Caenorhabditis elegans: one gene and its partner. The protein of the gene in region 2 purifies or fractionates together with the protein of the main gene of each other region. This does not show direct contact. Each region holds a gene or a part of one and is shown on either strand. Other genes may lie near its edges.

Region 1 (7,025 bases), on a different chromosome or scaffold from region 2:
AATTTGCCAGTTTAATTTTAAAACAAAAATATTTGACTTCATGTGCTTAAATTGAAGAAATAAAAAAAATTTTAACCAACATATTGTTTACTAGATAGCACATTCATAAAGGAAAACCAGACTGTTTTGTTATAACTGTTTTCTTTGGTGTTAAAATTTTATTGCACATTTTTTTAGAACAAACATATTTTTTTATTACACAGTTTTGAATATATTATATTATAAGTAAGAATTGAAGTTTATTAGAACGTTTTAATTTCAGAAGCCAAATCCACATTGCTGACGATAACTATTTTCTCGAAAGACAACGAGTGAAACGTGATGGTAAATTTATGTCGCATAAACTTTTTATTCCTTTCCTTTTCCCAATTTTCCGTTTTCTCCGTAAAACTATGGTAAATTATGTCTGTGTTCTGGTTGATAAGGAAATCATTAAGCTTTCTTCTCCTTTTGTAACTAAATTTGATCTTTACTCCATCTGATTTCGTTACAGCTGCTAGTACTACGTGCCCAAATGGAATGTCCGTGGCTACTCGTAACGTATTTGACAAGACAGTTGCTAGTGGAAAGGTTTTTTGGAACATAAATCTTCAGTTTTATTTTCATTTATAGACATGGGATTGCACTTTGGAGAGTAAGGCTCAGGCAGTGATCAAAGAGTGTTTGTTGGATAACGGTGGTGTCACTAATGGAACATTGAAACTAAGTTTCCCAGTGACTGGTAGTACAACACCAGAAGCAACTATTCAACAATTTCAAACAGCTCTTCAACTTGCATCCAGCAATTCGAATAGCAAGTCACAAGTACTAACAAAATGTTTATAACCCGTCCAAACTGTTATTTATAGATTACTGAATCGATTGGATGCTCTTATGCGCAGTGTCAAAGTAGACTCGACATTCTTTGTCTCTTCAGGTAAACATATAAAGTCAAAAATGTAGATTTAAATGTGAAACTCAACACTTTGAACACGGGTCTCAGAATTACAAAAACTAATAAAACTAAAAGACTAGTAAACGAAAAACCGTATAACTAGAGAAAGTGCTAGACTGTGATAGATTGTTACAAGTTTCAAAAAATATATGGGTTATGTTAAAAACGTTAGACTGTTTCCAAAAGGCAATATCCAAAGGAATTCCAAAAATCTTACGGTGCGCTCAAAACCCGTAAAAACATTTTTTTTTGTGAAAACTTACTTATATAAAATTTTTTAGGGTTCTCGAGTAGAAAAAATATACACTGAATAAATTTTAGTTTTCGTTTATAAAGGCTTTTATGACGACGAATGGCTAAATTTTTTGGAGAAATACATAGTCTCATAATCTTTTGAATAAAATCGGTGTCGTTTAGCAGTGTAATATTTTTGACCTTATTAGAAATGTATTAAACATGTTATTACAAAAACCTTTAAAAAATTCTGATATACAAAATTTCAATTTTCAGCCACTCGTCCACTGTACCTCCACTTCCATAAATATTGCACCACAAATTTCTTGATTTAACTTTTCGCATGACCTTGATTAAATTAAACTCATATTGGAATCAATTCAAATAAAGAACACTTATCAAATCAAACTTATTTGGGTTCCAGAACACTCTGTCACCTGGAAACCGAAATTGATGATCTGATCGAAATCACGAGTAAAAGCGAAAACAAAACATTTCGATTTCAACTTCCTCTTGACAACCGCATCCCCACAGTCTTTTCTTGACAGCAACCAGACGATTCCTGTCAACGTCGCAACCCCAAATTTGCATGGCATTGACAGATAATAAAATAGTGAGAAGGGGTTTATTGTGGCAGAAGACGTGAATGGGGAAAAAAAGAAACATAACAAACATATAAAGCGCTTCATAAAGGGAGGAAACTACCGTGTGTATTATTATATGCCGACACCAATTTTTAGGTTTCACTTTTGCGGTTTCTCACACTCATGACCTCTGCAACTTCTACTTCAGGTACTGTTTTGAACGAATTAGCATAAAATTCCAGAGAGGAGCGACGCCCTTTCAGAACAAAGGACAAACCTATCAAAACCAATAAATTATTACAGTAACGGTGTACAATTTGATATATAGTATAGTTGTTGTATCAGTGGTAGGCAAGCTTGATTCGTTTGACTTTTGAACTTTCTCCTTATTTTGTTCCAAATTTTCAATTCATTATATCACTGTGTTCAAAACTTTTCGAAACTTTCGCTTTCAGTGTTTTGTGTTTGCCCTTCTATTTCAACTTTTACAGTTTGAAAGTCGCATCAATAATTCGTAGACACTTTCTTTTTCCTCTCTCTTTTTTCTGGAGAGTACGTAATAAACTGGTAACTTTGAGGGGCGGAGCTTAGTCTCGACTTCGGTCTTCATAAATAAATTTCAGCCGCGGCGCCTCCCGCATCGAATTTGTGGATTCAAATACAAGGTACCCGTCATGCTCTTTGCTTGCTGATGACTATTATGAACGTGGTCCTTTCCGCTGTCACTCTTTTTCTTATTTTTCGATATGCGCAGGTATGTTTTCATTGGCTCAATTTTTTAATTGAAATTTTTTAGACTGTGAATATAGAAGGCAGTGGAGGAAATGATGAGCTTCTTGAGCAGAACGTGTGGAACGATGTAGACGACAAGGTTGTAGAAGCACTTGGTGGTCTTGATGATGGTTTGTTGATTTTCAATGCCTTGTTCCTTTTATCTCATTGACCGTGTATGTGTTCGTTTTAGAACTGCTAACCGAACATGTGTGTAACAAATCAACGATCACTCAGCTACAGCAGGAGATCATCTTGACAACCCACAATGAATTACGAAGATCATTGGCTTTCGGAAAGCAAAGAAACAAGAGAGGTCTCATGAACGGTGCGAGAAATATGTATAAACTGGTTAGTTTGTACTTTTGAGATAACATTGAGAATATTAGAACGGGATATTATATTGTTAATTACTTAAGTGTGATTAAATGCTTCAAACAATAGAGTCTTTTTGAAGTTTCAAACTAATTATTGATTCCAATACCAACATTTTCAAAAAAGTTGATCAACTTATTGTTCACAGCCATTGAACATATTAGCAATCTGACATTTGAGATATTCTACTAACCTATCAGATACTTTTCTAAAAACAAACAACCACCTTAATACTAGAAATATCTTTTCAAGTTTAACTTGTCATCAAACATACAATTTTAGGATTGGGATTGTGAACTGGCATCACTTGCAGCCAATTGGTCAACCTCCTGCCCTCAGCACTTTATGCCGCAATCGGTACTTGGCTCCAACGCTCAGCTTTTTAAGCGGTGACTAGTTTTCACATAGTCAAAACATTATTTGTTTGTTTTCAGTTTCTATTTTTATTTTGATGGGCACGACTCTACTGTACATATGCGAAACGCGATGAAGTATTGGTGGCAGCAAGGTGAAGAAAAAGGCAATGAGGATCAGAAAAATAGATTCTATGCCAGACGAAATTATTTTGGATGGGCAAACGTGAGTGTATTTGATATAGACCTATTAATGAAGTTGTGAAAATTTCAGATGGCAAAAGGAAAAACATATCGAGTTGGATGCTCGTATATTATGTGCGGCGACGGTGAATCTGCACTTTTCACTTGTCTTTATAACGAAAAGTGAGTTTATAAGTGATATTTTCTAGCTTCCGGTTTAAAAATAACTTGCGCAATAATACATTAATTTTGAAACACCAGTTTTATTGATTCTAGCAGTGAAAATAGAACATATACATAGTTTTTAGATTAATTTGTCATTTCCAATTCCGCTAGTTTTTACTCTGATTTTAAATATTCTCAACTCATATATTTTCGAGCCCAATGCGAAAAAGAAATGATTTACGAAAATGGAAAACCCTGCTGTGAGGATAAAGACTGTTTCACATATCCAGGATCAAAATGTTTAGTACCTGAAGGATTATGTCAAGCACCTTCTATGGTAAAGGATGATGGAGGAAGTTTCCAATGTGATAACTCCCTTGTGTCAGATGTCACCCGCAATTTCACTTTGGAGCAACACAATTTTTATAGGTATTATACAAAAAAATAGTTTAACTTTTCACGTCAACTGTTTAGATCTCGTCTTGCAAAAGGTTTTGAATGGAATGGAGAAACAAACACTTCCCAGCCAAAGGCTAGTCAAATGATCAAAATGGAGTATGACTGCATGTTGGAACGGTTTGCACAAAACTGGGCAAATAATTGCGTTTTTGCACACTCGGCACATTACGAAAGACCGAATCAGGGTCAGAATCTCTACATGAGTTCTTTCTCAAACCCTGATCCTAGAAGCCTTATACATACGGTAACTGTTCCTTTGATCTTCCATAAATATAATATTATCAATGTTGTCATCATCCATCAAAAAACTGTTTAAGGCCGTCGAGAAGTGGTGGCAGGAATTGGAGGAGTTCGGTACTCCAATTGATAACGTTCTGACACCCGAATTGTGGGATTTGAAAGGGAAAGCGATAGGACATTACACTCAGGTATCAAACCAATGGTCAATTTGATAAGGTAGTAGTAGAGGTTCAGATGGCCTGGGATCGTACTTACCGTCTTGGTTGTGGAATCGCAAACTGTCCGAAGATGTCGTACGTGGTTTGTCACTATGGGCCAGCGTAAGTTTGATTGATAGTTTGAGACGTTTGGGGAAGATTGTTTCAAATTTCAGAGGCAACAGAAAGAACAATAAAATCTATGAAATCGGGGATCCTTGCGAAGTCGATGATGATTGCCCGATTGGAACAGATTGTGAAAAGACAACTTCTTTATGTGTGATCTCAAAATAATTTTATTATTTGTATAAGTGTATAGAAGAAATTAGTGGGTTGAAAGCTTAATAAAGATCTGATAGCGATAATTGATAACAATACAAGTTAGTTCAGAGAAATTGGTAAATGCTAAACAAATGACGATGGTTTATTTTTTGAGACATGGGTCCTCCACGTATTCATGTCGAAGCTCAATAGATCGGCTGAACGATTGACCCTGAAATTAAAGAACTATTGAAAATGAAAGGAAATTGCAAGTATGTACAATAAGAATAAAATTAAAATATTGGGAAAAATATCATGCATAATTTTAAATAGAACTATTAGAAAATAAAAATTTCTTTAAAAGTGCAAAAAGTTTAAAGATGCACTTACGCTATTTGTTTCAAATGTTTTCAATTTTTTTTGTATTTTTAAGCTACTAGTACTTTTTAAATATATAACGGTTTCCTTAAAATGTTTATAAAAGACAACACGCAAAAATTTTCAAAATTTTCAGAACTTGTCGTTTATTTGCCAAGCTTAAGTAACATTTTGGAAGTTATGAAAAAACCCGGACGTAGTGCTATGAAAAATGACAAAGCCCACACCTAAGCGATCACATACCATTGTTTAATTTTTAATCTTTAAAAAAGTATATACAGAATGTAGTCACAGATAAAATATATGCATTACCTGTGTTAAAACTGGATAGTGCACACATGGATCCTTCTTTTCAACCTTTTCAGAAGATGAGACAGTTCGAGTTTTCTCGCCCTCCTCTCTTCTTTTAATTTCCTCCTCTCGTCGTTTCAGGGCTTCTTGACGTTCCTGTTCTCTTCTGTGATATTCCTCCATTCTTCTTTTGTGTTCGTCTTCTTGCTCTCTTCTTCTTTGCTCTTGAAGTTTTGCTTCTTCTTCCCGCTTTCGTTCTTCCTCGGCTCTTCGTTCAGACTCCAATCGACGTTCTGAATTGTGAGTCACTTGAATCAAACATTTTGAGTCTATTTTTAGATGCCTACCTTCTTCTCTACGTTCTAACTCAATTCTTTGTTGCTCTTCTTCTTGACGTCTGATTTCTTCTATGCGTTTCTTTTCTTCTTCAATGCGACGGATTTCTTCCAATCTAAGACTTTCTTCCTCTAGCCTTCTGATTTCATCCAACCTTTTTTGTTCTTCTGAAATTGAGAATAACTGACAAAAAGTCTCTTTATTTTACCTTCAAGTCTAAATCGCTCCTCTTCGATTCTTCTTTCTTCATCTGAAACTTCGTGATGTTCTTGGTGATCAACATGATGCTCTTCATTATCTTTGGTAATGTGTTCAGAACTTGATGCCATCTGCTCATCTCCTTCTGTTGGCTCAACTACAGGCTCTTCTACTTCCACTGGTTCTTCGTCTGTTGGCAATACAGTTTCGTGAACTTTCGTTTCAAAAACAGTCTGAATTTGCTATTTCAATTTCAGTAATTTTGGTCAAGCTAACTTTCTCGTAAAAAGCTTTATACTGCACATAAATTGGAATGCACTGACGGATTCGCTCTTCCATGTTTGTCTCAATGTAGATTCGTTTTTCGTATTTTTGAACAGGAGCGTCTGAAAACAAACAAATACGTTTTTGCAGTTTTCAAATCTTGAATACCTGCTGTAAGAAGTTCGATATCCCCCAAATGATACACATGCTTGGCTTTTGCTCCTTCAGTAATGTACTCTGCTGGGATCATTTTTGAGAAAACTCTCTGAAATCATTCATTAAATGTACATCATTCAATAACTAAACTACCTTTTCATTCAGTCCTTCGTAACCACAGTTGTGTTCAATAAAGACATATGGCTCGATCGCAGTGAACTGAAAATATCACAATTCCATTATTAGGAAAAATAAAATAAAAACCTCTTCGGTTGATCCCTTGACACAAAAAACTCCTCTATGATCTGCAACTACAGACCCAAGAAGATCATCACTGTCGAATACTGGAAAAGTTTTCAAACTTTAAATTAAATTTAAATTAACGAATAAACGTACTTGAGTCTTCATCGTAAAGTTGCACAAATGTACCAGGTTGTCTATGCCCGCGACAATTAACAATTCCTTTTACAGTAACTGCTTGTTGAGAAGAGAATACAATTGGAATAAAAATAGAAAACCACACAAAGCTGAAAATCTTCGCCATCGTGGGAAGTGTTGAAAGCACGAATGGCACTGTTTCAGAATCTTTGCAGGAGTGAGCGTGAGGGAGAAGGGAGGAGCAAGACGATGACTAATTGAAATTTTG
Region 2 (8,227 bases):
ATACTTTAAGTCTAATTTCCCAAAAAGTCTTTTTTTCCCTTTCTTCTCTCAATGCCGGTCTATTTTTTTCCTCTCTTTGTCGGACTCGTGAGGGTCCCGACTTTTTTTCATTGTTTTGATTAACTTTGATTAAACAATAAATTCACTTGTGGATCATCCTCAAGCCAATTTAAAAAAAAAAGTTACTTTTATATAAATAAGGTAGAAACAATAATTAATTTCAATTTGAGCTGCCTAAAAATAGTTTTACTAGACCCTTGTTTTAATTATGTTTTGTAGTGATAATATTTTGAATCTGAATTTTTCTTATTAACTTCAGTTTTGATGTGATGTGATAAGTTAATACCTGCCTGTCTAAACATCAGTCTACATATCTTTCCCGCATTTCTGAAAGAGCTGATGTATTTAAAACATTTTCGATTTTTAGTCATTTCCATAAATAAATGCATTGAAAACATTAAAATAATAAAATTAAATTTCGAATTAAGTTTTCGGTAGATCTAATAGTAAGGAGGAAAAATTATTATGTCCCAATTTAAACCTATTCTGCTCAAATTCTTATTTAATTTTTATTTAACTTTTTTTTCAAAAATTAGACGTTTCTCTTACATCTTCACTGTACCATATCATTTTAATCCGTAACTTTCCTACCTGTCAGTTTTTTTTTTAAATTAGACGGCTTATGACTCAGTTGTTGTTCCGTTTAACACAATAAAATTAACTTGCAATACTTCTTAATAAAGTTACAATGCATAATTGTGAATATCTTCCAGCCCACGTTCACAATGCTCAGTAACGGTTGTTATTATAGTCATTAAGTGTAATTTATGTAATCCTATGGGATTCTAGAACATGGCAGATTTACAGTATAATGTTTATTAACCAAACATGTGTTCAGATACATTACTGACAAGTAGGGATTAGAACTCATACTCATGGATGAAGACATCATAGGTCACTCGATATGCTTTTCCAGTTACGCAAGTCAGTTGCATCAGACACAAACTCACTTGCTAAGAGGTTTATGATCGTTTGCCAGCGCGGTCAAGACTGATGATCCGCTGAGTAGATAGTAATTTATTTGGTTGGTAACGAGAGTTGAGGAAATTTTGAATTTGCAAAGCCACTAACATTAAAACATCTGGTAGGTGTCATTTGGTCCCTTTTCTGCTAGTGTAATAACGTTTACAACTGGCTCTTCATTCACAAGTCGACGACTCCTATTTATCACCTATTCTCACTCCATAGCTTTTGAATAGGTTTCAATATTTGTAACTTTTCATATTTTCCAAAGACAAAAAATGTTTATTTGCCAAAGCCCTTGACTTTTCTCGTCTTGTAATACTTGCCGGTAGCTCCTTTTTATGTACACAGGTACGTCGAAAAAGACCATCCAATTAGGTATTAGATATCCTGCAGCACATACCCGAAAAGGCCTGTGGAACAGTAGGGCAGCAGGAACGGTATTTGAATGCCTTTTTCACGGTATGAATAAGGTGTATAGAAAAGGGGGTGGCTCTAATTATATGCGCGTATTATATTTGAATTCCGTAAGAAGACGAGAGGGTGGCAATAACCTTTTTGACGGGAGAAACAATAGGAGATATTTGAACGGGAGAGGTGGAAGATGCACACGGGTGGAAGCTAGGTGCAATAGTAAAGGGTGCCTTCGAGCCTGCCTACACATGCCTATTTTGTTTTTGGACTAAAAAATTAAATAATTAACTGTGGAAGTAAGTTGGAGTTTTTGAATTTTGTATTTTGTATTTTGTATTTCAAGAACAATGTGTTCTACTACAAAGCCGTATTTCATTCCAGGATTCAAAATGAAAATCCAGCCTAACAGCTTCCTCTACATCCCACCCATAACTCATAAGCACCTGCCACCCGTTGGCCCAAATTCCGGAGCACCCATCATCGCGCACATGTTTTGTAATGCTTGTGGTCCGTCTCTCTCTCTGCTTCCACACGGAATATTCAAATATCCTCCCCCTCCCTAGTCCCAATGGAGCTCCTTTACTGTGCTCCTCACTGCGCGCAGACTGGCTGTCAGCTGTCATCTGATGTCTGCGTCTCGCTGATCCTCACGCTATTTTGAGCTTCTTATGATATATTGCATAACTAAGAACGATGGCGGTAAGGAGACAGGAAATGAGGCATTTTGTATTCTTTTCGAGGAGGCTGGCTCTAATTTGAACATGCACAGACGAACGGAACATGCAGAACTGAACATAAGGAGGGTTGTGATCTTCAGCTAATATGTCTGATTTATGAGCTGACACTTCATTCTAGTTACTGATGAACCCGTAGAGACCCGCAAAAAAGGAAAGCTTATTGATTCAAAATTCAGCTTCCCATAATAAATTCCCATACAGCACGGTTCTTTTCAAAACCAGAACCATCTGCTGGTTTTGAACGGAACCGAAGCTGTCTTGGGCACCGCCAAGCACCCCGTCAGAAATGAGAAATTTCGGCGAGAGATTTGGAGAATTAGATAGGCACACACACTCGGGGAGGGGCGCCCACAGCTTTGACCTAGTGGCATTGAAAAATTGCCAGCGAGGGAAGAATCGGTGGCCGATTCGTCTTCTAGTTAGCCATGCCTTTTACCTACCATTTTATGATTTTATTCTATTCGGAACTTGGGGGCTAGGCACCTAAATCCGTTTGACAAGACAAGGGTCAAGTTTGCCGAACATTTCTCTTAGGGGTCCGCGCAATATTTGTTTGACTATAGGTATGCAAGTTTTTTTTCTGATTGCCCAATGTTTGTACAAGCTTTTTAGATAAAAACTGTCTCACTCCAGTTATATCACAAACTTTATTTTAATTTTCAATCTAACTTTTCAAAGTGACTAGAAAGGTCCTGATCCAGACAAGTGGTCCAGAGGTTTGATTATATTATATAAAACTCGAACCATTCGCATAGAGTGAGGTCAAAAATTGTTGCGCAAAAGTTGCGTCGTTATAAAATTGCGCCATCGCCCTCCAAACAGGCGGTCTTTTGAATATGAAGCTCGTCGAGAAACCCGAGTTGCGCTGGGCTGAATGTGCAGATACGCAACATAATCCTCGTGAGGAATCCAGCCGAGCTTTTGCATCATAAAGGAAAACAGCTGCTTTTGTATTCCATATTTCATGAGGGGGTCTTAGATGTTACGTGGAAGAGGAAGCATCTAATTAAAAAATTGAGTATTGTACATAATTATTTCTGGCACCTAGGCGATTTTGAACAAGTTAGAATTTGAAACTGTGAAAATTGGTGTCAAGTGAATGATAAAAATTTGATTGCAATTAAAAATTTGAAATTAAAAATTGAATTTTGGAGTGGTTTAAAAATTGCAGATTAATGCATTTTAATTATTTTTGATGAAGTTACTTTTGAAATGAAATGAAAGAGAAAATGAAATGAAAAAAAAGCTTTTCGCTTGTCCGCCGCTTTTTGTCAACCCGTACCGATTGTAAATCACTCATCATACAATTCCATCTCCAAAACTTAGTGATCCTTGACAAAACTGGTCCGAGTTCTCTCCTCCACCCTTCCATTTCTCGTTCTTTATTTGAAAACCCCCTCTCTATCTTGCACTCAGGTCCCTCTCAAATCCGCTCTCTTCTCTCTTCAATCTTCATGCTCTTTTTCCCCCGTTCTATAAGGGGTCATGATGGTGCAACCGGGTCGGACCACCTCCATCCGACCTCCCGCCTCCCACCACCCGACTCCCTCAAGCATTATTACCTCATACTCGGGGCGGCACAACCACCTTTTTCCCTGTTTTTTTTTGAAACCTTTTTCTGTGTTTTCAAATATTCTTTGAAATTTATAGATATTTTGATTTTAAAAATTTTTTAAAAATTTAATATTTTCAGAAAACTCCAAACACGTGGGCACAGTCATTTAATCTAGAGTATTTATTATGAATAGGCCTTCACAAATATCACAAGATGTAGCACAACCGCTTTCTAATCAGCATGGTGAGTTGAATTTTTATTTTCAATAAGGTGTATTCATTTTAGAATCGTAAAATTGACAGACTACATCTTGATTTTGTTTTCAATTTTATCTAGAACAAATACCAACTAGTATATATAGTTGTAGTTGAACATCTATTGACTTTTTTTTCAAAAATAGATCCAGTGAAGAGGGTGAACATAGAAACAAAGTCGTTTAGGGACCTATATTATTATTGCCAAAATGTTATAGATGGAGTATGGCCAGTGGGGAAAGTGCTAAAAACTACTACTATGGTGTCAAAATGACCGAATATCAGAATAAAACTTTTCAAAAAACTTTTTGAAATTTTTTATTTATTGTCAAAAATGACAATTACCCAGGTTTTTCCACTTATGAATAATAATGGAAATCGTCCAAAAAAAATTTTTTCCTACATTTTTATACTGTAATTTTGTTTTAATTAATTGTATTAAAACATTGTAGGGACTCATATTTTTCAATTTTTTTGGCATTTTGCCAAAACTTTGATCGTAAATTTCGAAAAATCTAAAAATTTTTAGAGTGTTTAATTATGATATTTGGTTGTTTTGGATCATTATAAGTGTATTTAGACAAAATTCTCACAGGCGCTACTCCACCTTTCATCTAGAAAAAAAAAGTTGATTAGCATAGTTGTAGTTGCAGTTGAACTGTTCTTTATTTATTTTTTTTTTTTTGAAAAATCGAACCTTTGAAATAAAAATCATGTGGGTGCAAATTGGAAAAAAACATAGCAAAAAATGTTATTTCGGGTTCTTTTCTCTCTAAATTTTTATTGCCAAAAAACTAATTCATATTTAAATTCAACGCAATTACAGTTTTTATTTCTGTACTTACTATCTGACACGAAAACTTTTGGAACAAATTATTGTACTCAAACAATATCTAATAACCCTAGACCATGTGTATGTCCTCTCTAGGAATTCAAATCATTATTAGCCTCGGTTCTCCTATGGAGGCTGATTGCGCATATTTCACGCAACATATCATTGCGTAGTGCCTGTGAGGGGGTCCTATTGTATTTCGCTATCTCGAGAGAGTACTCTCGTTTGCCCTCCTTATGCTTGGGCACTACTGAACATTTGGTGCCATAAGGGGTTTACTACTATACATACGGAAAAATTGACAAATTTCCTTTCAATTCAAACGATAGCCTAGCAGCAGCAGCAGCGGCTAGCTGCAAGACTCGGCAAATTTTACTAGTAGTAGTTCACGGCCTTGGATGCGGGTGTCAGATAAGCGGAAGTCGCTCACTCCCCTTTGCTGGTATCATCCATCAGGTAGCAGTATAAAGGAGGCTGTAAAACTAAACCCACCGAAAGAAGGTTTTGACCACTATAAAATAAATTGAGCGGGGTCAGGGTCTCTTAATTATATTTGAAAACGTTCGAATTTGATGAGATCTCATGAGAGGAGAGTTTTATTGAAAACGTTTGAAACAGATAAATGTGCAATGAATTTTTTAGAGTTAATAAAAATAGCTGAATTTGAGAAAAAAAAAATTAAATTTGAACTATTTTGAACAATACAAAAATAGTTGTTATTTATGGAAAAGCGCGCCCACAAAACAGCGGCAAACGCACAGAACTGCTTATTTCAACATTATAGTTCAACTTTTTTCATCCAAACTTGATATAGAAATGTAGAAAAAAAATTGATCTATCTGAAAATATTCCTTATGTCTGTTGAAAAACCTTAAAAATCTTCAAATAGTGCCTAAAAGTTCCTAAAACTTTAAACGGAATTTTTTGGCAAACCGCAACTTTTAGGCACTATTTGAGGCCTTTTTGAAGCTTTTCAACAGAAAAAAAATTATTTTTAAACGGAACAATCCTTCTTCTACATTTCTATATCAATTTTCAATAAAAAAAGTTGGATTATCTAAAAAAAAGTCGCAAAAAAGAGAAATTTGGATTTGAGTCTACTGAAACATTACACGAAAATTTCTAAATATATCGAATTTCAAGTACTCCAACCCAGCCAGCAATAAATTCCCTGAACTCTTTTTTTAATGATTTTCCAAATTCTTATGAGAAACTTACGACTTTATTGCTCGCCTCTTCGCAATTTTACAGTTTACGATTTTTATTCACACCACACCACACAAAACATTTGAAACTAGTACCACACCTCTCCTCCGGCACTAATCAAAATTTCCAATCTGACCTCTTTTTGAAAAGGGAGGCCCAAAGTTTGTTCAAGTAAGGTGAGAAAATGGTAATAGACGGGGGGGGGGCAAGCAGATAAGTATCGTTAGGCCTAAGTTGACAAATTGGCATGTCGAGCAACCTGGTACCAAGGTTTTCGATAGGATCTCCCTTTTCGGTGTTCCCTTTTTTACGAATTTTAGTGCCTTCAAATTTCAAATTTATGTTTTGTTTATTTTGTCCCCCACCTAACTTTGTTGCCCTTGATTCTCAAAGATAGCGGCTTCTGCATAATATAAACATATCTGTTCGATGTCTGACACCACCAATCGTACTTTTAATATAAACATTTTTGAATGTAGGTTAAAGTGATGACTGATCATGGAGGAAGAGAAAATCTTATATTACGCTAGACGGGGTCCGATTTCCTCGGGTCAACTTTCTTCGTTACTTTTTGACATTAGCTACTGTAGAATCTGTAGAGTCACACCTGTCCTCTCCTCTCGAGATTTTTTTTTATTTCAATTTCAATTTACAACAAAAACACAAAAAAGACCTCTAGAAAAAATGGCCTCCACCCGTGGCCAGGTGTCCTTCTCTCGGCCGTTTTTTTCTCGCTTCACCCCCTTATGAATACAAGATTCAAATTCCGTTAGACCCGTCGAGAGGGAGGAAACACACACTAATGTATAGGTATTGATGGTCCGAATTTCCTAGCGAGCCTGCCACCTGGCGCACTCTTTTCATAGTGAACACGACAGCCGGCTCTCGTTATGTCGGGTTACGTTTGAATGGGAACACGCGCATTAGGTACCATATATAGAGGCTTCATTGATTAGATTTGAAAAATACCAAAATTGTTTTTATTTATTTTTGGAACGAAAAAAAAAATAAAATTTTAAAAATGAAATGTTTTTTTCTAAAATTTAGCAAGGCAGATTTTATAATTTAATCCAGATTTTTTTTGATTTTTTTTGAGAAACAATTTTATAAAAACGCTTATGAGTTTTTTATAAATCAGCAAAAACTGAACATTTTTAAGTTTTTGATTTTTAGAAGCATATGGTTATGATAGTTTTTTTTTTAATTTCAGCAGTTTGAACTTATAAAATCAATTGATATAAATATTTCAAAAATTGAAACATTTTAAAAATTTTTAAAAATCGACTTCCAAGATCATGAACAGCAACTCATAAATACTGCCACTTAATAAAAAAAATTCGGTTATTTCAAAAGTTATTATACAATAATTTCAATTCCCCCCAAAAACCCCAAGGTCGAAACTCAATTTCCCACATTGCCCTACAGTAACTTATCGCTATCACATTAAAAATTTGAAAATCATATGGGAATATGGCTTTTTCCTCTAGTTTTACACAAAAAGCATCCGCGGGGTGGGTTACGACCGGACGAGTTACGCAACACTGACCGAGGAGGGTTACAAAAAAGTTTTCTTTATGCCAATCTACATATCTCTAGTTATCTTTTCCAATGTTTCTGTGAGATTGTCCAGTACACAGATTTTTTGATACTCTCATTGCGGTTTTTGGGCAATATTTGCTTTTTCCAGCTGTGTTAGATTCGGTGACAAACAATGGTTTTTGACACTGGGAAACACGGGCTCACACAAATCTGAGTTAGGAAAATGTTCTCATATAATTTCTAAAAATGCACTAGAAATTTTAAATAAAACATCATAAAGCCATTAGAAAGAGCAAGAAAATATTTTGGGATTTTTTTTCAAAATTTAATCATTCAAAACATATTTGAAAGTCTAGACACCGCTCATTTCTTGGTTTCTTTGCTTTTTTCGATTTGGTTTTATTTAATTAACGTAGAATTTTGTGCGTATGTTCTATCACTTCCAACATACTTCTGGGAACGCCTTTTTGAACATACTTTCCGGGAATTCCTTCATTTTTGAAAGATTGAAATCTAGTAATCCTTTGCCAGAACCTGACGTAGCACACTTGGATTTTCGTGCGGCGCTCATCATAAAAATCTTAATCTCTTTTCCCAAGGAGCACGTTTGAGTTCATGAGAGAAGAGCCATAAAATTGCACACAATTACTGCTCTTTTTGGATGAAA

The links.
Region 1: the proteins of cdc-25.2 (region 2) and vap-2 fractionate together in Caenorhabditis elegans (co-fractionation; one large-scale study listed by BioGRID). This does not show direct contact.

The regions. Positions count from the first base shown.
Region 1 is NC_003284.9:10,787,446-10,794,470, reverse strand, and holds vap-2 (SCP domain-containing protein), read left to right. Parts: upstream 1-1,935; coding exon 1,936-1,960; intron 1,961-2,375; coding exon 2,376-2,506; intron 2,507-2,548; coding exon 2,549-2,654; intron 2,655-2,716; coding exon 2,717-2,874; intron 2,875-3,180; coding exon 3,181-3,287; intron 3,288-3,332; coding exon 3,333-3,477; intron 3,478-3,525; coding exon 3,526-3,617; intron 3,618-3,812; coding exon 3,813-4,028; intron 4,029-4,073; coding exon 4,074-4,302; intron 4,303-4,375; coding exon 4,376-4,486; intron 4,487-4,532; coding exon 4,533-4,618; intron 4,619-4,671; coding exon 4,672-4,789; downstream 4,790-7,025. Other genes in the region: T05A10.6 (DUF19 domain-containing protein), read left to right, coding at 263-324, 494-570, 613-804, 849-916, 1,445-1,475; ttr-14 (Transthyretin-like family protein), read right to left, coding at 4,920-4,988, 5,447-5,718, 5,773-5,928, 5,970-6,192, 6,236-6,345, 6,392-6,488, 6,533-6,598, 6,644-6,723 and 1 more.
Region 2 is NC_003283.11:1,573,824-1,582,050, forward strand, and holds the start of cdc-25.2 (M-phase inducer phosphatase cdc-25.2), read left to right. Parts: upstream 1-3,867; 5' UTR 3,868-3,914; coding exon 3,915-3,972; intron 3,973-8,227. UniProt on the Caenorhabditis elegans protein: Required for intestinal cell division following the 16E cell stage of embryogenesis. Regulates intestinal cell divisions and binucleations probably by modulating the activity of the cell cycle regulator wee-1.3 and by activating the cdk-1/cyb-1 complex.